4 linked regions of the Rhinolophus ferrumequinum genome follow. The protein of the gene in region 4 binds, or shares a complex with, the protein of the main gene of each other region. Links are inferred from orthologs where the notes say so. Each region holds a gene or a part of one and is shown on either strand. Other genes may lie near its edges.

What was found.
Region 1: MED8 (region 4) and MED13 share a complex: the UniProt entries of both Homo sapiens proteins name them as parts of the mediator complex. The link is inferred for Rhinolophus ferrumequinum from reciprocal best matches to the Homo sapiens genes MED8 and MED13.
Region 2: MED8 (region 4) and MED20 share a complex: the UniProt entries of both Homo sapiens proteins name them as parts of the mediator complex. The link is inferred for Rhinolophus ferrumequinum from reciprocal best matches to the Homo sapiens genes MED8 and MED20.
Region 3: MED8 (region 4) and MED16 share a complex: the UniProt entries of both Homo sapiens proteins name them as parts of the mediator complex. The link is inferred for Rhinolophus ferrumequinum from reciprocal best matches to the Homo sapiens genes MED8 and MED16.

The regions. Positions count from the first base shown.
Region 1 is NC_046304.1:26,085,451-26,093,463, reverse strand, and holds the start of MED13 (mediator of RNA polymerase II transcription subunit 13), read left to right. Parts: upstream 1-4,997; 5' UTR 4,998-5,122; coding exon 5,123-5,188; intron 5,189-6,946; coding exon 6,947-7,181; intron 7,182-8,013. UniProt on the Homo sapiens protein: Component of the Mediator complex, a coactivator involved in the regulated transcription of nearly all RNA polymerase II-dependent genes.
Region 2 is NC_046286.1:11,620,456-11,628,059, reverse strand, and holds the start of MED20 (mediator of RNA polymerase II transcription subunit 20), read left to right. Parts: upstream 1-4,598; 5' UTR 4,599-4,703; coding exon 4,704-4,717; intron 4,718-7,063; coding exon 7,064-7,218; intron 7,219-7,604. Other genes in the region: BYSL (bystin), read right to left, coding at 652-814, 3,959-4,220. UniProt on the Homo sapiens protein: Component of the Mediator complex, a coactivator involved in the regulated transcription of nearly all RNA polymerase II-dependent genes.
Region 3 is NC_046301.1:62,029,963-62,036,875, forward strand, and holds the start of MED16 (mediator of RNA polymerase II transcription subunit 16), read left to right. Parts: upstream 1-3,896; 5' UTR 3,897-4,094; intron 4,095-5,514; 5' UTR 5,515-5,539; coding exon 5,540-5,672; intron 5,673-6,465; coding exon 6,466-6,573; intron 6,574-6,881; coding exon 6,882-6,913. Other genes in the region: R3HDM4 (R3H domain-containing protein 4), read left to right, coding at 449-552. UniProt on the Homo sapiens protein: Component of the Mediator complex, a coactivator involved in the regulated transcription of nearly all RNA polymerase II-dependent genes.
Region 4 is NC_046292.1:30,617,874-30,624,780, reverse strand, and holds the start of MED8 (mediator of RNA polymerase II transcription subunit 8), read left to right. Parts: upstream 1-3,886; 5' UTR 3,887-3,981; coding exon 3,982-3,987; intron 3,988-5,343; coding exon 5,344-5,462; intron 5,463-6,140; coding exon 6,141-6,285; intron 6,286-6,579; coding exon 6,580-6,720; intron 6,721-6,907. Other genes in the region: KICSTOR complex protein SZT2, read right to left, coding at 3,751-3,777. UniProt on the Homo sapiens protein: Component of the Mediator complex, a coactivator involved in the regulated transcription of nearly all RNA polymerase II-dependent genes.

The sequences.
Region 1 (8,013 bases), on a different chromosome or scaffold from region 4:
TTCCCCTCCCTGAATCTTCTCCTAGCTCAACCCAACTCATTGTCCTTTAAGATTGAGTTTTAACTGTCCCTCCAGGAAGTTTCTCTTGAGCCCCTCATGATAGATTAGGCTTCCTTACCATGTTTTACACACCTCTGTGGCCTTAAGCAAGTAGCTTTCTAAATCTCAGCATCCCAATCTAGAAAATTGGGATAATATAGTACATACCTCAGAAGCTTGTGACAAGGATGATAATTAATGCAAGATACTTAGCACAATGTCTGACATATTTAGTGTTACATATTAGGTATTAAATCATAGCAATTACTTAAGCCAATATTTTCATTATGCTTGAGAAAACAGATCCAGAGGAGTCAAATGACCAGCTCAAGTAGAATAAAATTAGGGAGAGGGGAGATCTGATTTGCTTAAGGTTTACAAACCAAATTTCAAAGTGAGGAAATTGGGGGGAATTGACTTCAGATTTAATATTAAAATAAAATATTTATCGAGAAATAAACTTGAGGTTGAGAATAGTTTCTATACTACCAAGAAAAATGGCAAGTCAGGGCAACTTACAAGTCAATCCAGGATGTTTGATGCTTAGACTGAAATGTTTTCTTAGCTTTCTCAACTTGCTAATTTACTTTGTTTACTTCTATATTCAACAAAGTAGTGTCTGTGCATTCACTAAATAAAATGGTTTGTAACTCCTCAGCCTTTTTTATTTATTTTTTATTAAGTAGAACATCAAACCATTAACATGACCTTAAGAAAATCAATATTGTCCCCAGGCTCAAGACCCCTCACTCCACAGCTTAATTGGTCCTTAGCTTTCAGCTTTTGCCTCTAGACTTGTATTAGCCAATACAGTTGCCACTGGCCACATGTGGCTCGTGGTTACTTGAAATGTAGCTAGTCTGAACTGAAATGTTCTATAAGTGAAAATACACACAAATTTTAAAGGTTTGGTTAAAAAAAGAAAAGCAAACTGTCTGAATTTTTTATATTGACTACAGATGAGATGATAATGTTTCTGTTACATTGAGATAAATATATAGTTAAATTTAATTTTAGCCTATTTCTTTTTATGTTTTTAAAATGTAGCTACTGAAAAATCTTTACTTACTTGTTTTGCTCTCATTATATTTCTACTGGACTGTGCTACTCTAGACCCTGGGATTTTTCAGGATCAGGTGGGAAGCATTAGACCTAAGATCAGACATTGCCCGTTCCTGGACTTTCTCTGTCTCAGATGATGTAACTCTGCCACCCTTTTTGGAAGCTAGATGCCTCCACTATCCCATTCAGAATGGAGCCCTTAAAAGGCTGAAAGAGTTAAAGAACAATTTTAAATGTAGATCAGTGAACAAATCCATATTTCAAAGAATCGAAGACAATAGGTGATTATTGACCAGGCAACACCTAAGATTCACTTTAACATTCCCAATTGGCTCTTCTACTTTACTTGAATTATCTCTTTTAATTGTTACAGCTCTAACATTTAGGTGCTGTTACATACACATTTTACAAAGGAGTAAATGGAAGTTAGAGAGCTGGCAGGCGTGGCCTGGCGTTTTGATCCCAGTGCCATATCTAGCAAGATTATAAGCTCCTTGTATATCCTGTGCTTTGTCCATTCATGATCTGACACATACTAGATGGTCAGTAAGTGTATAGTAAAATGTATATGTAATACAACTTCAACCATGTAGAAAATACACACACACACACACACGCACACACACACAGGGCTGGCAGGAAATATATCAAAATGTTAAAAGATGTTTAATTATGAATGGTGATGTTATAGGCATTTTTAGAGGGTAATATGCATTTTTATTTTTTATCTTTACACTTTTCTGTATGTTCCGAATTTTTGACAATGTGCATATACTGTTTTTATTTCCATTACTCTTTAAATCACACAAAATATCATTTAAAGAGAATGTAGGTGGTTACTGACATAAGGTGGTTTTTCTATGTGCTGATACTGCTCTCTTCTCTTGTCCCCATGATGTTTCCATTCCCCTCACAGTTGGTCCCTCTCCTCCACTTTGCTTCTCCATTTTCTCTCTCAACCTCTCCTGCTTTTTCACCTCTCTCTCTCTTTCTCCCTCTCTCTCTATTCTGCTCCTTTCCATGACCCTCTCTCAGACTTATTCCTCTGGATCTTCCTCCCTTCTTGTCTCTTTTCTCCTGTCGCCCCGCTTTTTCTGAGAAGATTGACATTCACGTGAAAGGTCAGTCAAATGTTCCTGTGCACGTAGTAGGTTTCAGGCAGATTGTACCTGCCTCTGGAGTCCGGAGGGAGATGCTCAAATTGGGTGATGGGAGGGCAAGACTTCTAAAGAGGATGGCTATGTTTTGGATAAAATAAGAGGTGGGGTAGGACACTGAAGAGTGACTAAAGCAGTGGGAACAAAGGTCTGAGTATTCTCTCAGGAAAAGAGATGAGCAGAGGCTCTTACCTTATTGGGTCTGGGGATTGCTGCCTCCTGGTGCTGGCACTCAGTTAGAAAGGATGTGGACCTTAGTTGATTTGAGCTCCTGGATTGAATTAGTCCTGGTTGTATAATTGACTTTGATATGTGGCCTTTAGATCTGAAATGGGTTTAATAAGATTTAACTGCTTCAAAGGGCTTTATAAGAATTCATTTTATCCTTTAAATCTGATTTCAAATGCTGCCTACTTCAAGATGCCTTCTCTGACTTTGGTGCTCCTCCTCCAGCGCTCCTATTGTGCCATAGTTGATACATACCTTATTCAAGCAATTACCTCCATTGTATTTTATCTTTTTCTGTGGGAAATAGTTCCTTTATTGCCTCTCTTCAGGACTCTTGAGGGACAGGCAGTTATCTTATTCGTATTTGTATCCCAGGCCTAGCAACACACTCAGTTATGCACACAAGTGCTCAATAATGATTTTAAAAAGTATGTTAATGGCTAACATTTAGTAAGCACTGTGGCAAGCTATACCTACACTGTTTCTTTCATGAGACACTTTAGGAGAAAAGTATTTTTATTATGCCCATTTTACAATGAGAAAACTGAGAGAGTAATTAATTTGATCTAAAGTCAAATTTGATCCAAGATCAACTAGTAGTAAGTAGCACAACTTTTTCTACAGGCACTTGGCTTCAAGATCTGTGCTCTTAACCACCGTAGACAAATGAATGGATGGATGAGAAATGCGCTTCATTCTGTGGCTGAAGAAGTCACGTGGAAGAGTCCACCATTTATTTTATAGAGGCAGTTATGATTTAAAATTATGATAAGTCCTGAATCACTGATGTTTTTAACTTTTGAATCACCTTTACTTCTCCCTCCCTCCTTCCTCCCTTTCTCCCTCCCTCTCTCCTTTCCTCCCTCCCTTCCTTCCTTCCTTCCTCCCTCCTCCCCCTCACCCCCTCCCTTGCTTTTTCTTTCTTTCTTTCCTCCCTAAAACTCTCAGGAAAAAATGTTTGAACTCCTACATTGAAATGCAATTCAGGCAAGAACTGAGTGTTTTATGGGGACGGAAACTAACATCTTACTTGGTTCTACTTCTTGCCATTCATTCACTTGCAAATTTACGAATATAAGGCACCTACTGTGTGCTAGGAACCTTTTGTAGACACTAGAGATAGAGCGGTAAACAAAACAAAGTCCCAGTTCTCACGGAGATTACACTCTAGTGGGCACTTTAAATAACGCTGGTTCACTTAGTCCTCACAATAACCACATGAGGTAACGATGACAACAATAATAGATAACTCTTAACAATGCTTATCTGTGCCGGGTACTGGGCTACCATGCTGTATTTGTCTTAACTCAATTATCACAACAATCCTGTGAGGTAGGGGGTATGTATGCTTTCCTCATTTCACAGATGAGGAAAGTGAGACATAAATCGGTAAGTGACTCCTTGAAGGTTCGAACCCAAGCGGTGTGTCTCTAACACCAGGCTATATTGTTTCGTTTGTTTCTTTCTTAATATCACAACTTTCAAGTGGCTGAGTCTTATCTCAGATCGTCTGACTCCCATGCCCAGGAGTTTGCGCTGCACCCCCGCGGCCTCGTGAAATACATGAGAAAACCTTGGAATTTTTTCAACACTTTCTCTTCCAAAGAATTCAAACTGCTTTCCACGTAATTCTCCGAGTTGTGATGTAAAGCTCTTGCACTGTCAATTCCGAGCAAGTAGAAAGACAGGGCCAGGGCCCTGGGTCATCCTACACTGGCCGGGGTACCCAGCAGATGGCGCTATCTTAGTAGCCACCACCTGGCTGCCCAGTCCCCCGGGCTCACCGCCTTCGCCGAAAGCTTCCCGGCCCTCCCTCGCTCCCTTCTCTCTCCTCCTCCCCACGGAGCCCGGGCCCACGTGACCTCAAGGCGGCCAATGGGCGAGCAGAGAGGGCGAGCTGGTCCCTGTGGCCGCCATTAAAGCGAAGGGAAAACCCGTGAATTCGGATTAAAGGGGGAAAAACACAGCCCGCTGGGCCCACAAAATGGGGGAGACTACGGCGTCCGGGCTGTGAGGCCGTAGGAGAGGAGACGTTAGGCCGGCTTGGCCCAGGGACTACACGAAGACACAGCCAGAGAATGGTTTGAGCCCGCAGACACCACCACCACCTCCGCCACTGAGGAGACTCTGGGCTTAAGGACATCGCCGCTGCCGGGCCGGGGGCCTGGGCTTCTCTCCGGTTCTCGCCCTTCCCGCCCCTCTGCGGGCGCCTCCCCGCCCGGGAGAACCCTCCAGGGCTTGGGCTCTGCCCTCTCGGACTCGACTTTAATTATTTATTGTGTAATTTATTATTTTTCTTGTGGAAGGGGCACACATCCCCTCTGTCCCCCAGACAGGGACGAGCGTCCGCGGGCTCCGCGGCGGCCGCAGTCCGGCCAGCGGGGTGAGCGCGGCACGGACCGCCCGCCTCCGGCCCTCGGCTCCGGGCGGCTGGGTGCCGGCCGGGCGGCGGGGGCTGCTCGCGGCGGCGGGGGGGTGGGTGGGGAGGGCGGGCGGCCCGGCGGCCTCCTCTTCCACGGTCCCCCCAACCAGCACCCCCCCGCCCTCCCCGGTGTCTGTGTTTCTCTCTCTGGTCGGAGGCGGCGGTAATGGCGGATGGTGGGTTGTGGCGCCGGCGGCGGCTGCTGTGAGGGACGATGAGTTCCTCCTTCGTGCCGAACGGGGCCAGCCTGGAAGATTGTCACTGTAACCTCTTCTGCCTGGTGAGTGCCGGGGCCGCGGGCGGGGACCGCGGCGAGCAGGGCGGTGGGGGAGGGGGCCGCGAGGTGCGCCCTTGGGCCGTGGGGGAGGGGTCCAGGTCTGATCCAGATGCTGGAGTCCCCGGGCTAGGCCCAGCCGGAGCCGGCGCTGCGACTGAGCTCCGCACCCGCCTCGGGAGACGCGTTCGTTCACCCGCGGTCCTGGGCTCTGTTTTAGGAGAGTTGGCTTTTTTTCTTGTTTCTGACTTTTTCCCCCTCACCACCGTGGTCTTGTTTTCAGCTTGGGCTCCTTATCTGGCAGGACACTAACATTTCCCTCTGTTTAACTGTTGCTTTTCTCATTGACCATGTATCCCTTCACACTTTACATTATTGCCCATTCTCCCACTGTTTTTATGCCTCACTCTGGTGATTTGTTTCCCCCAATAAACAGGACCCCGGAACTTAGGTACTAAAAATCTCTTTTCGTTTTGCATTTTTTGTATGAGTCGAACTAACAGAATGTTAGTTTCTTCCTTGGGCGACTACAGACCTCTGTAAAAACCAGTAGATGCCATTTCATACGTTTTCTCTTTAAACTTTGAAAACAGTTTGCCATTTTGACAATTTCTAGCCATCTTGCTTTTATTAAAACATTATGTTTGTGTGAGAGTTGAACGTACTAAGAGAGAAGGTTCTATGGTTTTGCAGTAAATATTTTTGTCTTTTGCTTGCATGTTTAGAATGTTTTGGGCAGCCTGCTCCAGGTTTTATTGAAAAGTGTGGGGAAGGTGACAATTGTGTAGGTTGGCCCATGTCTGGGAGCGTCCAACCGTTTAAGACTTTAAAAACAGTATCAGTTGTTGCAAATACTTAGCCCTCAATTGGACGGTAGCTTAGCTTCAGCAATGATTTAAAGTTTCAGTGACTTCCTTTTTTCATCTTCCCTGCGCTTTGAGAAATATTAAGAGTATACGATAAGGGAATTGAGTGGGCGGAGCAGAACTAGTTGGCAAGTGTAAACTGCCAGTCATGTATCAGCAGTTTCATTTCTGGCACCTATACTTTGCACCTTTAAGTTAAAGAATTACTGAATTCCCTCTTGAATTTCTTTCAGGATGTTAAGTTAAGATCTTTAATGTCCTTTCCCCTATAAAATGTTTTCTTGTCCAGTGTCCATTAATCAGCATCTCTTCAGATGTAATAAGACAGCAGGTTTTACATTTCTATCTTCTCCAACTCAGTCTATTTTTGGTGCTTTTAGGATCAGGTTCTTTGAAGATAGACTAGCACATATCTGACAGTTCTTTGTGAGCAGCTATTTGACTTTTCCTAAAAGGGATATGTGAAGAAGTAACAAGAATTTTTTGTTATAGTTCAGACTTCTATAAACATGGAATGATGATGAGTCTTTAAAAATTAATTTTCTGTTACAAGTTTGACATTAAGGACAAATGTGACCAGTTAGAACAGAACTTAGGATAGATAGGAAATGTTTACTCAGTGTGCAGTATTAAAGTACATATTTATATTTAACTTTATTACGTTTCTTTTATTTCTCCTTGGAACACCCATTAATTGACTTGCTATTCAGTGATCTGTCATTGTTAATTTTTTCACTGTTTTTGTTCAGAATTATTAAGCATTTTTTTGATCAACCTGCTTTCAATATTTTAAGTATATCTTGAAAAATTTTAATCCTTGTGAAATAAGGGACTTTTAATAGTGAGTACTTTTGACTTTGCAGTAATAAAAAAAAAAATCATGCTTTCTTTTCTTCAGGCTGACTTGACGGGAATTAAATGGAAAAGATATGTATGGCAAGGCCCAACTTCTGCCCCTATTCTGTTTCCGGTGACAGAGGAAGACCCCATTTTGAGCAGTTTTAGTCGCTGCCTTAAGGCAGATGTACTTGGTGTTTGGCGGAGAGATCAAAGACCTGGAAGAAGAGAATTATGGATATTTTGGTGGGGTGAAGACCCTAATTTTGCTGACCTTATTCACCATGACTTATCAGGTGAAAGCAACTTAACCATTTCTAGCTAATGAATAGCAATGTATCCTTTACTCCAAAATTGTCTTTATTAAGATTTTTTGGTGGAACACTTAGGTATGAAGCCAGATACAAATTCAGCTTCATAGTCTATTTCATTGTGGTTATTTTATTTTACTTAAATTATCCATATTATGGCAGGCTTTTTCAATCTTCAGTAACTTGATTCTTTCATCACCTAGCTTCCTCATGAATTTGTCATAGACAGGCCTAAGGAAGACATTATATTAACCTAAGAAAAATGGAATCAGGGAGCATAAAGTTCCTAACAAAGTTGTAATACTTTTGAAGCCAGTTTAACTAAACTTGGAGTCAGTTTTGCCACTGCTCTCCTGTATATACGAATATGAATATGCTGGCAGTTGTAGCAGTATCTAGAAATGTGTTGTAACTTTCCCACGTTTTTTCAAAGCATATGGTTATTTTGTTATTGTTATTTGTGGTTATTTTATTATCATGTGAAGACATGTTAATTTTGTTATTCTTGGGAAGTGATTCTTTTATTTTAGATACCTTCCAACGAAGACTATCATTAATATGAGAAGAGCGCCAACTTATTTAGCTTTTGTAGGACATTAGGGGGCATACTCGAAAAAGTTATACAGAAATAATTTTATTATGAGCAAATCAATAAGATTTCTTCCATCTTATTTTTTTGATTTAGGACCAAATGTTATTTTAGTATATGTGCTGCCGAAGTGAGCACCCAAATGTTATTTTAGAAAGAGAAACTGTAGCTCTTCATGAAATTACTGAAGCTTGTGTTTATTTTGGTGTAAGAGTCAGTGAGTCTTTG
Region 2 (7,604 bases), on a different chromosome or scaffold from region 4:
CCCCAGACACCCCACCCCTGGGCCAAAGTCCACACGCTCAGGAGTTTGACCACAGGAGCTTAAATGCTGACATGCCTTGGAGCCAGCATTTATTATAGATGGGACTAAATTAGTGGTTCTAACTGGGGGTGAATTTGTCCCCTAAGGGACGTTTGGCAATGCTGGGAGACACTTTTGGTTAGCACAACTGGGGGAAAGGTCACTATTGCTATCTGGTGGGTAGTGGTCAGAGATGCTGCTAAACATCCTCCACTGCACAGGACAGCCTCCACACAAAAGAAGACTTATCCAGCCCCACATACCAACAGTGCCAAGGCTGTCAGACCCTGGATAAAACGGAGCTGAGGGTACGCAAGACATCTGGCCAAGGAAACCGAGCTGACCACTACGAACGCTGAGCGCACCAACACCAAATGCAAAAGGATGGCTCTCCCCAGACATGGAAAAGCCCAGCAGCAGTTTCCCCAGGTAATCAGGGTAGGTCTAGGACAGGTGGACAGAGGGGGAGGCGGTACTTTGTCTGGGTCATTCTCACTCAGAATGGTCCTCGGAGGATGGGCCAATTTGGTTACGGTGGTTCCCCCACAACTTCCCCGTGGGAAGCTGCCCCCAGGACCTATCACCCCCAATGCCAGGCCACGTCAGCCCTACCTGACAGGAGGGTTCTTATTCATGAACATCTCAATGGCACGCTCGTCCTCAGGGTCCACGGCCACCTCTGCGTGGTGGTCCGCCCCTGTCATTGTGGCAGCCTTCTCCAGCGTGGGCCATTCCTCATCCTCGTCATCTGAGCCATCCTGCGGCACGCCTGGACCTACAAGAGGGGAGATGAAGTGTGTGAGCAAGGTAAGCAGTGGGTGAGGGATTCAGAGCTCAATTTAAGTTTAACCATCAGGTAGAGTATAGCCTCACGTGTGCTTGTAATAGACACAGATGTGTGCAGTAAAACATGATGCACACACTACCTTCCGACACCCCTTTACCCCCCGCCCCCCCGGGGCTTACAACCTTGCTTGAGACACAAAATGTACACATAGGAACCAATAAGATAGCGCTGCCAGCAAGTAACAGTTAACACACTATACTCAGCCAGGTAGCAGGAACTGTTCTAAATACTGCCGGTAACTCGCACAACCCTGAGAACTAGGTACTATCATTATTATACCCAGTTTCAGATGGGACACTGAAACACAGAAAAGTTACTTAATTTGCCGAAGGCGGGAAATCTGCGTCTAGACTGTGCATGCTTTACCTCTATTCTACACACGTGGTGGAGCTTGATTATATATCAAATGAATGGTAGAGACAGTATATACCATAGGCATTTAGATGACGAGTGCAGAGGACGGTGAGGCTCCGGGCAGGGGAGCAGGTGGAGCGCATTCCAAACCCGGGAAACACTGGCAAAAAGGCTTGCCGGTGTTAGGCGGTAGCTAGGAATAAGCCTAGCAATACGGGAATGTGAGGGCAGACCGCGGAGGGCTTTGAGGCCAGGCAGTGGAGTTAAGAGTCCAATGGACCAATAAATGATTATAGTGGGAGGCTCGACAGCCGGCTGAGTGTCTCGTAAGGGATGTAATACTCCACACAGTGAGGTGCAAGGCTGCACATGAACAGGTCATTAAGAACAGAGGGAGTGTGTCACAGAAGTTAAATGCAGGGGTGTGTGTGTGTGTGGGGGGGGACAGTTTGTCTCCACATGCTAACAACTCCCAAATCTGTACTTGTAGGTAGATATTTCGCTCCTGACCCTAACTCCAGCTGCCACCCGTATAGCCACTCATGGATGATCCACAGGCATCTCAAACTTCACCTGTCATCAACCCGAGAAGTCACTCTTTTCCTCCGAGGTCCATTCTACTGTGTTCCACATCCAACTACACAGCACCACCATCCACCCAGTGCTAAGCCAGTACCTGGGAGGAAGGCGAGCTGCATCCCCTCCTCACCCCCAACACCCAATCAGTTACCAAATTCTATTCCGTTCTACGTCATGGAGTAGGTGTCAAATTCTTCACAGCCCTGCCTAAGCCTAGATCAGCATCATCTCTTGCCTGGATTAATGTAACAATCCCCTAACTGGTCTCCAAATTCTCCAATAGTTTCCCAATGTCTTTCTGATAGCTTTCAATCCGGGCACAGCCTTCAAGTCTTTTGCAGACTTGGCTCCTACCCACCTCACCATCATTCATTCATCCGTTCATTCAGCCAACACTGAGTGCCTACCACGTGTGAGACACTGTTCTGGGGGCTGGAAACATAAGAGTGAACAAGACAGACAAAACTTTTTGCCCTGATAGAGCTTCTATTCTACGGGGGAGAGACAATAAATCAATATAACATATTAGGTGAAAAGACAAGTGCTAAGAAGAAAGAAACAGGGTGTAGAAGTTGGGAGTGTGGAGACAAGGGTGGGTCACAATTATTAATAGAGTAGTCAGGACAGGATTCTCAGAGAAGGTGAGGAACCGAGGGAGTAAGCCTGTAGGTGTACGAGGACAGGAACAGCCAAGGCAAAGGCCCTCACTGGCCATGTTTAAGAATAATGAAGCCTACACGCTGGAAATGAAGAGGGCAAAGGGGGAAAGCAGAAGAGGTTAGACTGGCAACAGCAGCAGATCTAGGACTTTTGAGTCCCTTGTAATCTTCTAGCTGTTGACTTATGAATGGACTGTAGGGGGTATGGGATATTAATGAGGAGGGTACTGTAATCATCCAGGGGACAGATGGTGGTGGCTTGAACAGGATGGTTTTCCAGGGTGCTGAGAAGTGGTCTGACATTAACTGAAGGTAGAGTCAACAGGATTTCCTTACAGATCAGATGTGACGTGAGAAAGTCTGAGGTTTCAGTCTTCAGCAAACGGAAGGATATCATACTGTTAGCTGAAATTAGGAAAATGTGGGAGGAGTAGGTTTGGCGAGAAGGTTTATTTTGAACATGTTAAATTTGAGATAGATTTCAAACTGGAGATGCCAAATAGGCAGCTGAAATACAAGAATTTGGGGTTCGTGGAAGAAATCAGGGCTAGAATATAAAGAAGGGAGCAGTCACCAAATAGATGGTATTTAAACGATGAAATGGATGACAGCACCAGAGAAGTAAGTGAAGAGAAGAGATCCAAAGACTGAACCTTGTGGCACTTCAGTAAGAGGTTGGGGACAAAAGAGGAACCGGCAAAAGATACTGAGAGGTAAGAAAGTAGTAACACAAGAATGTGATGTCTTGGAAGCCAAGTAAAGATACTGTAGCCAGGAGACCAATGTTCAATTGTGTCAGGACAAACTAAAGATGAGATCTGAAGAATGGATTAAGCAACTTGGGGGGTCAACACTCCCACCCTAACAAGAAAATGCTGACCATCTTTTACTTACTCTCTCTCCCTCTTTAGCCCCTAAACCACATTGCACTTTCTGCTCAGAGCAGGCAGGCCCCACTCACTTTTTTAGGTCTCAGCAAAAGGTCATGCAATCTGGGAAGTCTGACTCACCAAGACCACTGTTATCAGAGAAACTATACTTTATCATGGAATGTATTATTCTAACTTGCCTATCGGATTGTCTCTCTCCTAGACTATCTGCAAGTCAGGCACATGTCTAGCCTGTTTATTTCTTTACCCAAACCATCTAAACTAACACAGTGCGAATGAAGCGTAGTGGTAGACATCCCCTAAGTATGTATAGAACAAACGGATAAATACTAGAACTTGGTGGTGCGAGCAATCACTTCCTGTTGGACTAACTTCAAGGGGTGCCTAGAAGAGGGCTTAAAACTAGGAGTGGGCGTGGAGGGTGCTGACCACCCTAAATCCGCTCCAGGACTGGGTCTCTCATTCCATTACTTTTGCTAGCGTGTGCTACGGACCTCCCCTTTTTTTTATTCCAAGCTATTCCCCCTGCCCCACACCCGTCCACCCGCACCTAACCGCTCTCTTCCTCGCACCCACCCCCCGCCACTCACCCAGCCGTGTGATGCGCTCCCTGGGCGCCGCGGGCATGCCCCCAGTCCCATGCTCGGCCTCGAGTTCCTCCTGTTGCTGCCGTGCTTGCTGCAAAATCCGTCGGGTCAGCCGGGGCCCCACATACTCTTCCTCTTCGGTCCCGCGACCCCGCCGCTTCTCCCGGGCCCCTGCCCGCACCACGTCCCCAGCCAGAATCTGCTCGGCCAGCGGCGCGTGTTTTTCCTGACCTCCGGCCCCGCGGGCCGCCTTGAATTTGGGCATTTTTCTCCAAGAAGTTGCGGGGAAGGTTCACACGTGGAGACGGAAAATAAGTCCTGAATGCGCTTGCGCAGTGAACTCCCAGCGCCCAAGAGGCCACACGGAGGTCACAGCGCCCCCTATCGTCCGGAGGCCAGGAGTGCCGTCAGCGCCGTCCCGCCCGCTAAGAGCTCACAGGTCCTGGAGCTGGACTCCCAAATACACTTATTGCATTTAACGTTGGCTTCTCTAAGCTTTGTGGATATAGGCCCAGAGAGCTGCAAGCCTGGGTACTACATTCGGGCAGAGATGCCACTGGAGGCGTCACCGAAGCGCCTAGACACGCCCCTATTCTCGTGGAGCGACGACTAGGCGCTCTGTTTTTACGTCACTTCCGGAACCCCTTCCTCCCGCGACGCTTGCATCGGAGGAGTCTTCCCCAATGTGAGCGTTCGGAGGGCTCCGCGTTCCCACTGCTGCGTCCTGCCACCCTCCTGACCTTACACCATGGGAGTGACTTGGTAATACTGCGGGGGATTTTGTGGGGCGGGACTTGGGGTCGTGAAGGGCCCTCGGAGCCTGGAGGGTACCCGGGAGGAGGGTCGGGAGCAGGGTCGGCCGTCCCTAGGAGCTGAGCAAGATGTCCTCGGATTGTGTGGGTGAGGGAGACACCCTGAGGGCTGCGGATTCTCGGGCCTTGTTCCTTGGAGATACGCCAGCCTTCCTCCTGGGTCCCCCCCGCGACCAGGAACCTATCAGTGTTTGGGTACCTCCTTCGTATTTTTATTATTTTTTTTTTGGTACCTCTTCTTGCCGGTGAGGCCATAGTACTGCCCAGGGTGGAACTTTAGGGTCGGAAATAGGATGTGCGAATTAGGACCTATTTGTATGCAGGGCTGGAGCGGGTGTAGAATAGGCAACCAGGAGACTATCGTTTTTAGGCTTTCGCCTGCCCCTTCCTACAGCCACTAAATGCAGTTAGACGAGCCTGTCTGGTTCTAGTCTGGTTCTAGTTTGGCCATTGTAAGACCTTGGGTCTAGAGAGGAAAAAAAGAAGCTATTGGGAATTAGGGTGTTGGGGTCCAGGCATTACACTATGTGTAATTAGATGGTTGGCCTAATTTTTATGGAGTTTTCTTCTCACTAACGTTATAAGTCAGAGTGGCAAGGAAAGGTATGGGCCTAGTGCTCTTGGAGGTATTAGTTACAAAATGCTAAATTCAGGGCGTTTTTTTTCTTTTTTCTTTAATGGGTAAGTGTGAGCATTTCCAGTCACAGAGGGCTGGAGGCCAGGATGTCTGAAGTCCGCGGGAACAACTCCTGGTAGCCCAGGTTCTCGCAGGTTTGTCAGTGATTGCACTTTTGTTTCTACAGTTGACATCCCGAGCCTTCCTTAAGTTTTCTAGTGTGAAGGAAATGTGTGAGGGATGGGAATGAAAAGTTTGCAGCACAGAGGCTGGGAACCCTGGAAGCCCGTTTTGTCCGTAGAGAAGGCAGACAGAAGGAAGGGCCTCTCTGTGGGGACCCTTATCAACTTTTTCAGGCTCTTGGGACTTCTCACCCTAGAGCATCAGTTTAGGGGTTCTCTTATATTTCAAAATAAGGCACATCATCATCATTACTTACCGTGCTTTTTCTGGTGGAGAGTAGTAACACTTTTTAGCAACTGTAGGACTCTATCTTGATAGCTTCATTTAGTTGATTGATTATAATAAAGTAATGCAGTCTCCCAAAAGTCAGTCACGTATGACTGTCTTTATGATTTTTATATAGCTAAGTACCATCTGTACTCTTACTTGTTCATGTTTTCATTGAAATCTATTTCTTTTCCTTAACAGTATTTTAACAGGCACCTAGATCCCTAGGGAAGTGGTCTAGTGTGCTGGTTAAGACCACAGACATGGAGCCAGCTCTTCTGGCGTTGAATCTTGGCTGCACCACACCACGGTGTGAGACCTTGTTGTGCAAGTTGGTCATGCCCTCTGTACTTCAGTTTCTTTGTTTTAACACGGAGATAAATTATAGGACATCTTCTAGGGCTGTTGTGAGGATTCAGAATAATTAATTCATCTCAAGGCCGTTGGGCACTGTCTGGCACATAGTTGGGGCTTGGTAACCTCCCTCTCTGAGGAGGAAGCCAGTTTCACTCACCAGAGAAGGAAATCTTGGAAATAACATTTTTTGCTTTCTTGTCTTGATTAAATTCTTGTACGTGTTATTGCCTCTCCCAAAGTTTATACACTTGAGGCTTTGTCTTAGATCCTAGGGCTGTCAAATACAATTTTTTGCATTGGTGGAAGTGTTCTGTCAGCACTAATACAGTTGCCCCCAGCCACGTGTGGCTATGGAAATGCGGGTAGTGCAGCTGAGCAGTTGAATTTGTAATTTAATTTGTTCTGTTAGTTTAAATGGCTACATGTGGCTTGTAGCTGCTGTATTGGACAGTGAACGTTCAAAGTGTTAGAAAGTTGGGAAAAACATATGAACCCCCCATTGAGACTTTGTTCTTGATACAGTCAGAACTTAAAGACTTGCAAGGAAATCCTTTCTCGTTCTACGACTCACTGTTAACGAATGCTCAGTTTGTGTGCCCTACAATCTTCTCTTGAATGTTGGCACACATGCCATGCTCAGGAACTTCTGCGGTGATAGGTAGGAAGTTCACTGCACTGGTGACCTGAGACCTGTGCTCTGGTTCTCAGGGACTGTGGTCCCCTGTCGCCTCCTCTTTAAAACGAGAGGGTCCTGGTAAGTGGTCTCTAAGGTAACTTCTGGCCCTGAGGGGCTGTGAATCTGTGGGTGATCACATGACCCAGCAAGTGCCCGTGTGTCTCTGGGTACTGATGCTTCGGTCCTCTCCCTTCCAGTGTGTCCCAGATGCCTGTGGCTGAGGGCAAGAGTGTCCAGCAGACCGTGGAGCTCCTCACCCGGAAATTGGAGATGCTGGGGGCAGAGAAGCAAGGAACGTTTTGTGTGGACTGTGAGACCTACCACACGGCCGCCTCAACCCTGGGCAGCCAAGGTCAGTGAGATGGGTCTGCAAGATGGCTGGAACCTGGCTTGGAGCTGATAGGCCTTTGTGTTCATTGGAATCTTTCTACTCTTCTCCAAGGGTGTTTTTTTTTTTCTTTTCTTTTCTTTTTTTTTTTAAAGGAGGGCGCAGCTCAAAGTGGCCTATGTGGCAACTTGATGTTATCGGCACCACGCTCTAACCAGCTGAGCTAACGGGCCACCCCAAGAGTGGTGTTCTTGAACAGGTGGCAGATATGTTTCTGAATTCATTAATTCTTGGTCACTTAGCTCTTAGACGGGGCCTATGTTTTAAGTCTTTTTGCACTTTTAAAGCAATGTTTTTCAGAGAGTTGGTCACTAACTACATCAGAATCATCTGGGTTACTTGTTACAGGT
Region 3 (6,913 bases), on a different chromosome or scaffold from region 4:
GGCTTAGGATGGAGGGACTGGGCTGGGGGTGCAAGATGGGGAGCAGGGGAGAGGGAAAAGCCGGGCCTGCACGGAGGAGGTGCCAGGGGAGGACTGAGCTTCAGAGATCCTGAGGGCAGGTATGGACGCAGGGGACCAGGAAAGAGGTGCGACACTTGTTCAGGGCCCGTGTCCCCTTGGCCTCCAGCCTCTGTGTCAGTGTGCCCATCTAAACACGGGATGAAGGACACAAAGGATGAAACAGGGTGCAGAGGGAGGCCCTAACGTAGCAACTGCTCTTTGCGGGAGTCTGGCCCTGGGACCTGGGGCGGGGGAGGGGGTCACATCAGACAGACCCTAAGTGCCAGCTTGCAGTGACTTCTGGCAGGGAAGAGCCAGAACTCGGTGCCTCTGTGTGCCATGACTCTCACGTTCCTTTCATTCTTGCCCCACTTGTCCCCTCTTGCAGGTGCTGACCTGGAGGGCAAGAGGCAGATGAAAGTCAGCAATCGTCACCTGGACTTCCTGCCACCTGGGCTGCTACTGTCTGCTTACCTGGAGCAGCGCAGCTGATGGCGGCCCTGCCTGCCGGCTCCTCTCCCCCACCAAGACTTCCCATACCATCTGCTAAAATATGTTTGTTATTTTTAGAGTTTGTCCTTGAAGATGTGCTCACCCCCTTGGGGAAGCGGTCTCCTCACCCTGGCCCCAGCCCGGCTCAGCTCTCCCAGGTGAACAGCTGGCAGCTGGGGCTGCCCCAAACTATCCCAGGGCCCCGTAGCTCCCCACTCTGGGACTTGTATTTGGGTGGGGAGACCGGTCTGTTCACTTTGATGTTCCTTCTTGATTCAGTTTTTTGTGCCCAGTCTGAAGCTTAAGTGAGAAGTAGCTGGGTTTTTATCACTTAATTCGGTGTGATTTGTTGTAGATTTTTAAATTTCCCATTTGGGAAGAAAAACCAAATACTTGCCCCAACTGATACATTGGGGGGCTTTCTTCTAGTCCCTGCTTTACCCCCTCCCAGTTTTAGGCTAGGATGGGGAGGTCTCTGGGGTGCTGCCCAGAAGCAGTCCATCTTCTCTGTGTGTGTGTGTGTGTGTGTGTGTGTGTGTGTGTGTGAGAGAGAGAGAGAGAGAGAGAGAGAGAGAGAGAGAGAGAGAGAGAGAGAGTGTGTGTGTGTCTGGGTACGCGTGGGCATACCAGTGCTCGTGACCCTAGACAAGCTGTGGCTTAAAGGCTGGTTTTAACCCTCTTTGGAATGTGTGTCAACGGGTGCCTTTTTGTGGCTTTTGGGGCCCTGCCTGCTCTACCACTCCCCCCACCTCCAACGTTTCTCCCCTCCTTTCATACTGGAGGTCTGGGACTTCCAGCCAGAAGCTCCCTCCCTCGGACTGCCACTTTCCCCACTCCATGTCCCCATGTCCCCTCACCTTTCCCCTCCTTCAGCCTGGCTCTAGCCTATTGGTTTGGGGTTTTCTCTTGCTGGTCACCCTGTCCTGGTCCAGAGAAGCAGGGCTGGGGGACACCCCACTCCCGTGTATGTGGTTAGTTGCTCATTGAGGAAAGTGGAGAGTTCAATAAATTTCTGGTGCTCTGGTCTCCAGCTGTGGGGTTTTCTTTTGGGGCAGGGCTGGGGCCCAACAGGCCCTCATGATGCTCTTGCGCCCTGGTCGCTGAGGGCTGTGGGCCTGGGGGGAGTAGCTTCACGCTGAGTTGCAGCCAGAGTGTGAGGCAGGTGGCAGAGAGACTTCTGGGAGCATCTGGCCATTGGCTCTGCCGCCCTGGCCCCTCACTGGTGCTTAGGTTCAAACCCCAGGTCTGCCACTTCCCAGCTGTATGATCCCCGCCCCCCAGCTGCATGAACTCGTGGAAGGTTTCTGAAGCAGCAGGAAGAAATATCCCACACTGTGCTGAAAACCACAGGGATTTCTCGTCTCCCAGGTCTGGAAGCCAGAAGTCCAAACTCAAGGTGTGGCAGGGCTGCGCTCCCTCCGGAGGCTCAAGGGGAGGGTCCTTCCTGCTTCTCTCAGCTCCTCGGGACTCCAGTGTCGCTTGGTTTGTGGCTACATCCCTGTGGCCTGTGCCTCCGTGGTCGTCACGTGGCTTTCTCCCTGCGTCTCTTCACGTTGTCTTCCCTCTATGTATGTCTGAGACTGGCCGGGGGTCCTGCAGGACCTCCCCATCCGGGTTTTCTGCTGTTTCCCCCATGATTGCACTGAGGGAAGCGCCCTGCTCATCTGATCACATCAGGGTCCCTGCTGTCCCAATTGCTCCTCACGGCTGACTTTGACGCTGATCTCCTGGCCGGGGTGCTTTTCAGGCTTCTGCACTGGGAAGTTAAACCACGCCCCACCCAGCCCCACCTGCCCTCTCGGAATGAGTCGCCTTGAGCAGCCAACGCGGAGGGATGGGAGTTTCCTAGAGGGCGGAGAATCTACGTTAATTCGATAGAAATTTTGCAAGGTAGGGCTGTGGATCTGGAGGAAGAGTTTCTATGGCTGTGGATATGGGGGAGGAGCTTCGCGTTGAGTGACAGCCGGAGAGTGAGGCAGGTGGAGAGACTGGAAGTGTCTGGCGGTTGGCTCGGCCGCCCTGGCCCCTCCCTGGTTCCTCGTTCAAACCTCAGCTCCGCCACGTCTCCCCGGCGCGGTGCCTGTATTTATTCAATCATTTATGTCTTTGTGGAGGGGTGGGTATTTACTTCCTACTACTTTGGGTTATAATCCAGTATGACTTCATTTTGTTGCAGAAATGACTCCAGGATTGGCCCCTGGGAGCTCTCCTGGAGGGCTCCCATGTCTCTTTGAGGCATCCCCATCATTGTGGGGTAATTTTCTGAGCACGGTCCTGACTTCCTGCCGCTACAAGATGCTCCTGCTCGGCTGGTGTATTTCTCTCAGGTGCCTGGTTCCTTTTATCCGGGCACTGTTTTGGAAACCAGTGGGCGCTGGGTGCACTGTATTCCATTTTAATATGCATTTAAATAATTTTAAAGATAGACGCTGAATAATGGAAATCCAAATGGCTAGTACGGAGGACAAAAGGAGATATTTGAGTCGCCAGCTCGGAGCCTCCCATCTGCGAAGGGGACCGAGTCCCCAGGTTCCCAGAGGACAGGATTCGGCCTCGGGCATGGGGCTCTGGGGGCCCACACAGGCCTCTCCCACTGCCACGCGGGTTCGAGTCTTGTCCTCGACATATGCTGGCTGTGTCAAGTTCTTCCAGCCGGGGTTCCCAGGCTGCCGGGTTCCCAGGCTGCCGGGTTCCCAGGGCCTCCAGGCCTTTGTCCAGGAGGTGCCTTACGCCCGGTGCACCCTTCCGTGCAATCCCCGGGGGTTCTTCCTGGGGAAGACCCTTCAAACTGGGGAAAGTCTGGCAGGAACAGAAGCAGCTTTTGGAGGAGGAATTGAGGATGGGGTTTGAATCCAGAAGAGCCCTCAATTGGATAAGGTACCTGGGCTTATCAGCGCCTCAGTTTCCCCACCTATAAACATTATACAGAAGTAGAGAACAAACAGAACTAGCTTTTAGAGGACTTAGTGATGGGGTTTGAGACCGGAAGCAACTTCGATTGGGTAAACCACTTCCTTTATTTTGTCGCAGTTCCTGATACCAGGAAAGAGAAAAATATGGAACGCTTCACGAATTTGCGTGTCATCCTTGCGCAGGGGCCATGCTAATCTTCTCTGTATCGTTCCAATTTTAGTATATGTGCTGCCGAAGCGAGCACAGTTCGACTTGTGACCCGAGAACTATTTAAAGGGTAAAGATAAAATTTCTTTACACTAACGGTGAACCTCGTTACAAAAGTTTAGCAACAAATTCTTATATGATGTTAGGGTAACATATAGCGGAACCAAATGCGGTCATTTACTGGAGTTGAAAAAGTGTTTCTTTTTCTACCAAATAAAACTCAGGTGGCTGCTGGGAATTATTAATGCCTATATTCAAACGACCCGGAAGTGGGGCGGAGCCGGAGCCGCCGCCGTCCCAGAAGTCTCCGGGAAGCTGTCGCGCTGCGCGGTCGAGTTGTTGGTCGTGGGGAAAGAGAGTGGCGCTGGAACCGGGGAGTTAGGACGAGTGCTGTATGCGGCCGTGGTGTACGGGCCCGTCCGGTGAGCGCGGGACTACGACGGCCCGGAGGGTCAGCCGGCCTCCTGACGGCCCAGGGCAGCGCGGCCCGGAGAAGGCGGGGACTCCTGGGCCCTGGGCGGGGTCTGTGGGGTCAGAGGGCGGGTCTGGAGAGCAAAGGGTTCTGGGTACGTGGCCTGGGCCGCGCTAGGCTTGGTCTGGGGTTTTTGGCGGCAACTCGGGGTCCGGAGCTGGGGGAAATTGGGGCGGGGTCTAGGGATTGTTTGTCCCTGAGGAGGGTCCTCGGACGAATGGAGGGGAGGCTTGAGGGTCTGGGAGACTGGGGGGCGGGACCTAAAGATTGCGCGGGGCCCCTGTGATGGAGTCTGGGTACCGAGGGAGAATTGGAGGTGGGGTCCTGGAAGCCAGGTATCTGGGGGGTGGGGTTTGGAAAGCAAAGGTTGTTGGGGGCGTGGCTGGAGGTCTTTGGGGACTGAGCTGGGGGATTGGTTGGGGTCTCTGGAGCGGAGCCTGAGAGTTTAGGCTGGGCCTGGGAGCTCAAGGAACAAATTGGGAGCGGGGTTTGGAAAGCAAAGATTGAAGGGGATGGGGATGGAAGGCTTTGGGAGCGGAACTTAAAGTGTTGAAGGGGCTTGTGGCGCGGCTTTGTTGTTCTGGAGCAGGGCCTGGAGAATTGGGGACGTGGGGGTTGATCGTATTAACAATCTGACTGGGCTTTTGTGATGGTGAAAGGAAATAACCTATAATTGATGCCGGGCACATAGCTCTGAGGAAACGTTCGCCTCTATTGTTAGCGCTCCACTCAGCACGTCCCACACTAAGACCAAACTGCTGACTCCCCGCCAACCCGGCCAAAGGCAGCCCCACCAGTGCCCTGCCTTCCGAGTAAACCCAGGATCCGACCTCTTCTTACAGTTGCCACTGCCGTCCACCTTGTTACTGGCCTGGACCAGTGCAGTTACTTCCACCCCATCTCCTAAGCTGTACCCTGCAGAGAGCCAGAGGGGTCCTGTTGAAACATAAATAGGTCACAGCCCTCCTGGGGCTCCCACCTCACTCTGGGTGAAAGTTCACCGTCACCCCCACCCTCAGCTCAGCTGCGTGGCCACTTCTTCAGTACCCTAGACTCAGTCCAGCCTCTGTACCTTTGCGGTGGCTGTACCCTCTGCTAGGAATGCTCTTCCCCAGACATCTCCATGCCTCAGACCTCCCTCACACCCATGCTCATATGTTGTCTCCCTGGTGTGGCCTCCTTGACCCTCCATGTTTAAAATGCAGCTCTCCCCACCCCATCCCCAAAACCCAAGGTCAGGGATTGGGCCCTTTTCATTCTCTGGCGACCCAGCATCCAGCATAACTTTTAGTGCCCTACAGGTGCTCAGTGAATGCTACGATGAGCTAGTCCTCTCTGTCACTCCCTCAGGTGGTCATTCCCTCCCTCAGGTGACTGGTGTGTGACCTGTGACAGATGGATCTGGCTTATGTCTGCGAGTGGGAGAAATGGCCCAAGAGCACCCACTGCCCATCAGTGCCCCTGGCGTGCGCCTGGTCCTGCCGCAACCTCATCGCCTTCACCACAGACCTCCGGAACGACGACCAGGGTGTGTCCCCTCACCTCCAGCCCAGCTCCCTGTCCTTCCTCTCCCCACACAGGCTCCCACAGTACCTGGAACACTGCTATTGGGCAACTCCAAGTCTCCAGGCCTGCCTGGGAGCTATCTTCCACCCATCCAGGCCCTCTTAGGGCTTCCTCACTTGTAACTGGGGGAGGTGAGGGTCTCATCCTCACAGGAGTGCAAAGGGCAGGTGCATTGAACTGCTGCCTGCTGTCCTCGGTGAACCTCGCATTGAAGTGCTGGCTACTGTGGGGATGCTCTCCTACCCCTGTGTGATAGGAGGGGCTGAGGGTGGGCAGCCCACTCCGGTTTGTTGGAGACTAGTGCCTCAGTTTCCGGGCCGTACATGTCACTGTTTGGCTTTTGAAAGCCTCTAAGGTGCACGGATGCTGGGCTGTCTTCTCTCCATCATCCGAGTAATGTGCACTCATTACAGAAAATTTAAAAAGCGCAGGAACTGAGGAAAAAGAACCACCTGTCACCTTCCATGTCAGCATGTATGGGGTCATTTTCTTCCCTTTCTGTTTTCTGGGTCTCTTAACAATGTGGTTGTAGACACACTGGTGGCAGACTCCCGGGCCTGCTCTGTTCTCCCTTGGGGACACGGCCTGTTCCTCGTTACTGCCTGGGCCGTCGATCTGGTCAGCAGCACCTCCATGACTCCCCTGTGGGTGGGACATTCTCTGGCTTCCTCCCTGAGTCCCCCTGGGGTCATTGGTTGCCTCAGGGCCATGTCATTGTCACCTTGCTGACCATGCCCTGTCCCCCACCCCGGCAGACCTGACCCGACTGATCCACATCCTGGACACGGAGCATCCCTGGGATGTGCACTCTATCAACTCAGGGCACAGCGAGGCCATCACCTGCCTTGAGTGGGACCAGTCAGGTGAGGGCAGAGCCGAGGGTGTTCCTGCATGGCGGAGGGAGACCACGGTGGTGCTCACCCTTGACTCTGAATCCCAGGGTCACATGCTCTGTCTTTTCCTGGTTATGTCCCCAGAGTCCAGAGCTGGAACTCGAACCTTTGACCTGTGGCTTTGCAGCTGCTGCTGTTCCTGTTCCCCATGTCCAGAGCCATTTCCTCAGCATACCTTGTGCCACTCCCCTGGGCTGCTTTCTCCCAGGCCCTTAACATACTGCGGTGATTATCCCTTCCCGCAGTGGGGGTTTGTGATGCAGGTTTGCCCCCCACAGGCTCCCGGCTACTGTCAGCTGATGCCAACGGA
Region 4 (6,907 bases):
TTGCGCAGGGAGGGTGTGCTAAGTGAGGAGGAAAAGGGGGATAAACCAGCTGGATGCTATAGACGAGCACTGTGCTATTAGAAAACTTTCTTCAGGTTATTAGCTAGTAGGCTGCTTAATTATACAACTGTACATCTTCCATTTCTCCATCTTATCTCAAAGGTTATTTTGAATGATGGACTGGCTATCCAAGGCCACGCTGAAGTCTAGTTCATCAATCAGTTCTTATAGAATCTACTCTCTTGATACTAGGAACATTTGCCTAACTCGAGCTTGCTCACAACATTCCCCCTTATACCTGATGCTTCAACAACAACAACCACGTTTTCAAATCATCATCTCTAAGTTATCTTCACATTCAAGATGTAATTTATCAAAACCATTAGACTTCAGAATTAATTTAACCGGCTAGAATGGTATTTTTCAAAGTGTGCTCTAAGGACCAGCTGCATCAGAATTACCTGGGGTGCTTATTAAAATGCAGATTCCCGGGCACCACCCCAGACAAACTGAATTAGCGTTGAGAGGGCTCAGGACTCTGCATTTAACAAACTCCCCAAGTGATTCTGCCACTTTAATGTTTGAGAATCCCTGAATTAGTTGTATTCTCACAGCATCCACACTCATAGGGAGCTTCAAGTCCCTAATCTTTAATCCCCGAGTCTGAGCTACATGACTCTTGTAGTCTGGCAAAGAGAGAGCAAGGGTTTGGAGTTAAGAGAACTGGAATCAAATGTGGTTCTACTACTTGCTATCTAGGTGAGTTTGGACAAGTTACGTAAGTTTTCCAGGCCTCAGTTTCTTTATTGATAACATGCAGATGTCTACTTCAAAAGGATGTTATTGCAATTAAACAGGAGAGTCAGAACAATCATAGAGGAAGCCTATCATTCTTTGGGTCATTTACTGAGGCCTACATACATACCAGTTATAACAAGATGAATAAAACATCATCAGGTGCTGTGCTGCATACCATGTATTCCAGCCTCACGGAAACATCCCCATCTCATTTATTTGTTATTTTTTGAACCTGTCCCTTTGTGGTTAAGGTATAAATTATGTTTTGAGGCTTTTCCAACCCTTGTGCTGCTTTCTGTTAACAGAGACCCACGAAATAATGTAGATTTCTCCATCTTGAACTGTCTTAAGCCTCCTTACCACTATTCATATGCCAAAGTCTTGAAACTCTAGCACGGCCTCAACCTGAACCTTCTTCTCCAGCCTCTCTCACCCATTACCCCTGAAGTATAGTCCCTAGGAGCAAACACTGGTTCTGCTGCTTATTAGTGAAGTTACTTAAACTCTCTGTGCCTTAGTTTCCTCATCTGTGAAATAAAGATACTAACAGTATCCATTTCATGCGGATTTGAGGACTATTAGATGATTATTTGGTAAGCACTCTGTGTTAGCTATTCTCATTGCCACACTGCAACCATACTAGAAGCTGCTTCCTCTCAGTTCTCTAAAGGGTCTAAGCTCCTTCTCATCTCAGGATTTACACTACTCACTCTGCCTCTTCTCATAGCCAACTTCTACTCATTCTTCAGGCTTAAATGTCATTCCTCTCTAGCAGCTTCCTGATCCACCCTGCCTCCACCACTTCTTAATAAAGTAGGTTAAGAGCCCCTGTTAAACACTCATTCACTCTGTATTTTTCCTTTGCAGCACTTATCATAACTTGATGTTTGTTTACTCCCTTAAAATAGGGAAGGTGTCAGTCTTACACTGCTCCGCATCCTCCCTGATAATTAGCACAATTCTGAGTCCATAGTAGCACTCATAAATATTTTAAGTATTTGATGAATGAATGATTTCTTAAATCTGACTATGCCCAATCTTTCTCTCTTGAGATTGTAACAAACTCTAAAAGTCAGTCACTTTTCTGCCCAGGGGCAGAAGAACTCTTTACTCCCTTCACCTTGTGCCATAAAATTTTCAGAAATACAAATCAAAAAATTAAGAAATGCTTAGCTTTTACCTGAATGAGACCCCCAGGTGCATGTGTCTTGGCTCCAAGTTACTTTAGATCTGTAATGTTCAATGTATTCGGTATCCCCTACCACATGGGGCCACTGAGGACTGAAATGGTGCTTGTCTAAAATAAGATGTGCTGCAATATAAAATACCTACTGGATTTTAAAGACATGATACAAAACAAAGAATGTTAAATGTCTTATAATTTTAAAATATTTACTACATGTTGAAATTGTAATATTTTGGAAATACGGGGTTAAATGAATGCATTACTAAAATCTTCACCTATTTCTTTTTATCTTTTTGAATGTGGCTACTAGAAAATTTACATATATGGCACACATTCAACTTCTATTGGGTAGTGCTGTTTTAGACTATCTGCCTATAAGGCATGTTTTATTTCCCCGCAAAATACCTGTATTTCCCCCATTTGAATCCATAGCAAAACATAACTCCAAATGGTTTTTTTCAATACTGATATTTCTGATGCATGGGCTATTCTACCATCCCTGTTTTAAATAAGGCATAGTTTCTTACTTTATCTTGGGCCTCGTCATATCAAATCCCAATGAACTGGAGGTTTACTATCCCACACTTACTTTCTTATTTACATTACAAACATTATGGTTAAGAACACAAGGTCTGGAGCCAGGCCTCCCCGTTTTGGAGTCCTGGCTCTACTACTTACTAGCTGTATCTTTATTGCTCTGAATCTCTGTGTGCCTCAGTTTCCACACCTGAAAAATGGGGATGATAATCGTGCCTACTTCATAGGGTTGAGCACATTAGTTGGTATTGGTGAAGTGCTTAGAATGGTACTTGGTACGCTGTAAGCATTCAATAAGTAATAACTACTAGTTGTGTCATTATATACATCCCTCACCCTTCCCACCTATTCACATATTCTCTTGTAATACTGGACACCTCTCCTAGTGATGTTGTTCCTTCCAAATCTCAGGGATATTATGCTCAGAACTTCCAACTCCAAAACTCTGCTACTCCCCAGCTGAGTAGCACTTAGGTAAGGTACTTAACCTCTTTCACTTTTCAGTTTCCTTATCTGTAAATGAGAAATGCTACTGCCACCTTCCTTGCACAAGTACGAATAACACAATGTATATGAAATTCCTTGCGTGGTCCTTAGCACCTGATGGATAAGTCACATGCGTTTTCTGGTTTAACACATGCGATCCTCACAACGCACCGTAAGACAGGTATTTTATGAAGAAGGAAACAGGATCTGGGAAGTCAAGGCTTGCCCAAGTTGCACAGATAGCTAAATAGCAGCGCCAATATTGGAACGAGGTTTCACTCTGGGTCAAAAATTTTTCAGGAAACCAAAGCTGCTTTCCCACAGCATGAGCGCTAGAACTAAATTAATTCATGCTGTTTATGGGATTACAATGTTTGGAGAAATGCAGAAACCGGCCAAGTATATATTGCCCTGTTGCCCGCTGAAACTGCAACAGAAAAATCAAAATACAGTTTTTGTTAATATCATTATTATTAGGTCAAAGAACCCGACAGCCCTAGAGTCGGCGACGTGGATGAAGTTTCAGTAAACAAAACAAAGCGACGAGTTTTTCCTCAAACCCCCCGAAGAAACTGCGGACCACGAGGAGGTTCAATTGTCGGGCCTTAGAAGCTGGGCCGGTCCCCGGCCCAGACGACACGTCCAGGTCGCCCCCAGACCCGGAGGAGGCCACGGCAGCGCGCGGCCGCCGTACCCTCCCCCTCGGATCTCGGGAACCAGCGCTGCGCCCGCCCGCCCCTCACCTCCGGCTCCGGGCGCTCCGAGGCCATCACACAGCCCTCCCGCGCCGGCCCAGGCCAGAGAAGATGTTCCACTCGTGACCCCTGACCCGGCTACCTCGCACCCCGCAGTAGCCGGAAGTGAACGGGCGGGCCGCGTTCTGAGCTCTCTGATTGGTGGACGAAGCCCTGTCAGAGTGACTCGCGACTTGGAAACCGGTAGAGGAGGTCGTTGCGGCCGCTACTGCTGCCGCTATGCAGGTGAGAGCCCGGTCGGGACTATGGATCGCCAGCTAACTTCGAGTAACGGGGCCGAGAGTGAGCCAGCCGAAGAGAGATGCAGTTGGGGCTGAGAGGAAGGGGCAGAGCCCGCGGCTGATGGATGGGGAAAGTGGGGTGAGGGACGAGGCCTACTGGACAGGGAGAGGCGGAGCTGAGAGATGGGGTGGGAGCCCCGCTGACAGGAGACAGAGACTGCGGCTAAGTCGAGAGGGAGAAGGCAGCACTGACTTGCTGGGGGGTGGGGAAGGATCAGGTTGTAATTGGGGAAGGTTGAGATTCAACCCAAGGAAGATAGCTTAAGAAAGTGGCCGGTTGGCTCAGGACCCGGCCTAGGCTGTTGGACGCTGCTGGATGCAGACATAAGAGGGCATCTGTAATTGGAGAGAAGCCCGAGGGGTGACGGAAATGTGGTGCCGCGGGGGCCAAAAGCCAAGTTAATGAATCTGAGGCCGTGGGTAGAATCCAGGATCAAGGCTCCTGCCCTACACATTGGCTGGCGTGTTTGCAAGACGCTTTCCCAGCCTGTGCCTGTAGTCAAGGGTGAAGAAATGAAGTAAAACTGGAGACCATAGATGGAAAGGAATTGCTTTGCAGACACCCCAGCATTTACAATTGTTTAGTGCTTAGGACGTATGCATTTTTTTGTCTGTCATTTGTCATTTAGTTTCTCACGCCTGGTAGTTGGTCAGTAAGTGTTTATAGGTTGACTAAGTTGGTGAAAGGGGCACAAGAATACTGGCACAGAGGTAAAGTGAGTGCAGATTAATTTCGCAAGGAGGAGGTTGAAACATCAAATGCTGAGGGCAAATGAAGAGTGAGAGAGAGAGAGAGAGAGAGAGAGAGTGTGTGTGTGTGTGTGTGGTGCAAGGCCCTATTCTGAGAAACTTTCATGTGTAGGTAGATTTCCCAGAGATTGTGTGCCATTGACAAGAACAGCCAGGCTCACAAGGCAGGTTCTAGGACAGAGGAGTACATATGCTGCAGAGGTACACAAAAGATAATAAACCCAGGTATTAGGTCTGGTGAAAATTTCTCAACGAGAGACAATAGAGTGTACCTAATCCAGAGAAAAGACAGGCATGGATTAGGACGTGATGAGAGAAAGAATCAGTTGGTAGGAGGAATTGAGGTCAGGTGAATGGGTTGAAAGGTCTAAAGGTTGATGCTCTCTGTAACCCAAATACCAAAGATAGAAAACGACGTGGCTCTCGTATGCCAGTGAGATCTTATGTCACTTGACTAGTGTTGCACACTGTCACCCTGGCTTTCCAGCCTTCTTCTGTATGTGTCATATTTACACCCATTTGGATAACCAACGTGTTCCTATTGGTGCAGAGAGAGGAGAAGCAGCTTGAGGCATCATTAGATGCACTGCTGAGTCAAGTAGCCGATCTAAAGAACTCACTGGGGAGTTTCATTTACAAGCTGGAGAACGAGTATGACCGGCTGACCTGGTAAGGGTTGCCAGGGCAATCTGGGGAGGACTCCATGGGTGGCAGGGCAGGCCTCCTGGTGGATGGGATATCTCCAATGATGTAACCATTTATCAATTTGCAAACATCTTTTGATTTGGAAAGAGCTGGCTTTCCCAACATTTAACAAATGAAGTTTAGCTTAGGGCCTCCATGGCAAGGAAGTAGAGAAATGCCCAGTTTCCCAACCTAGGTTCTTCCTAGCTTTTGATTCTCGCCCTTTGACTTCTCTGGGAAGAGGTCCTCCCTTAGTGTGTCCTCCCACTGCAGTAGGCATACAGTGGTCATACTGGATCTTCTACCACAGATGTTGCTGAGTCTTTTAGGTACAACCTATTCTGGAAGTATGGATCCTATTTCCAGGCCAGAAAGGAGGCTTTTACTCAGTTTCTGAATTTTCAGTGGTAACAGTGTAGCCATGGTTCCTATTTTACCACTGTTCCTCACCCCATTCAAATAATGAGCTGCCTTTTTTCTCCATCTGTGTCAGAAACTGAAAGCGTGTCCCTCTTTCCTAACCCCACAATCCCTGTAAGCCAGTCTGGTTCCCACCCAGTCCAGCCATGGGCTGTCTTTTTGGGGTAAGTCCAAGTATTCCTAATCTGAAAGACCCCCTTCGAGGCTACTTGGAACATTCTGACATCTTCTTACCACCACCAGGCCCTCTGTCCTGGACAGCTTTGCCTTGCTGTCTGGACAGTTGAACACTCTGAACAAGGTCTTGAAGCATGAAAAGACACCACTGTTCCGTAACCAGGTCATCATTCCACTGGTGTTGTCCCCAGACCGTGATGAAGATCTCATGGTAAGAGGAGGAGAAGGGTGCAACTTGGGAAATTAAATTCTTTGATGACCTAGAGCACAATTGTTGGTTGGTTATTCTGGAAGTTCTGAATGTGGTGTAGTGTGTGGCAATAAAAAGCGTGTGGCAATAAAAAGTGTCGGCTGAATTTTGGTCTCCTAGGAAGCTAAATATTGTAAGTCTTAAGCTGTGTTTTCCCTGAAAATGCACTGTTTGCCTGTGGCAAGAACTATATATCAGGCCAAACTGAATCTTCTTGGAGTGCATAGAAGGATCAATAAAATCTGTGTTTTACAGCGGCAGACTGAAGGACGAGTGCCTGTTTTCAGCCATGAGGTGGTCCCCGACCATCTGAGAACCAAGCCTGACCCTGAGGTTGAAGAGCAAGAGAAGCAACTGACAACAGATGCTGCCCGCATTGGTGCTGATGCAGCTCAGGTTGGACTGAGTCACTGTCCTGCTGCCCCCATTCCCCAAGTCCCATCATGAGAAGCTAGGCATTACCATTGCTGTCTGGTAGGGATGTATAGTTGTTACACGTAAGTTGCCCCTAGAAGAGCACAAGGAAAAAACTTCCCCGCATAATTTCTTGCTTGCCCTAATCTCTGAACCAATTTATGTGTGT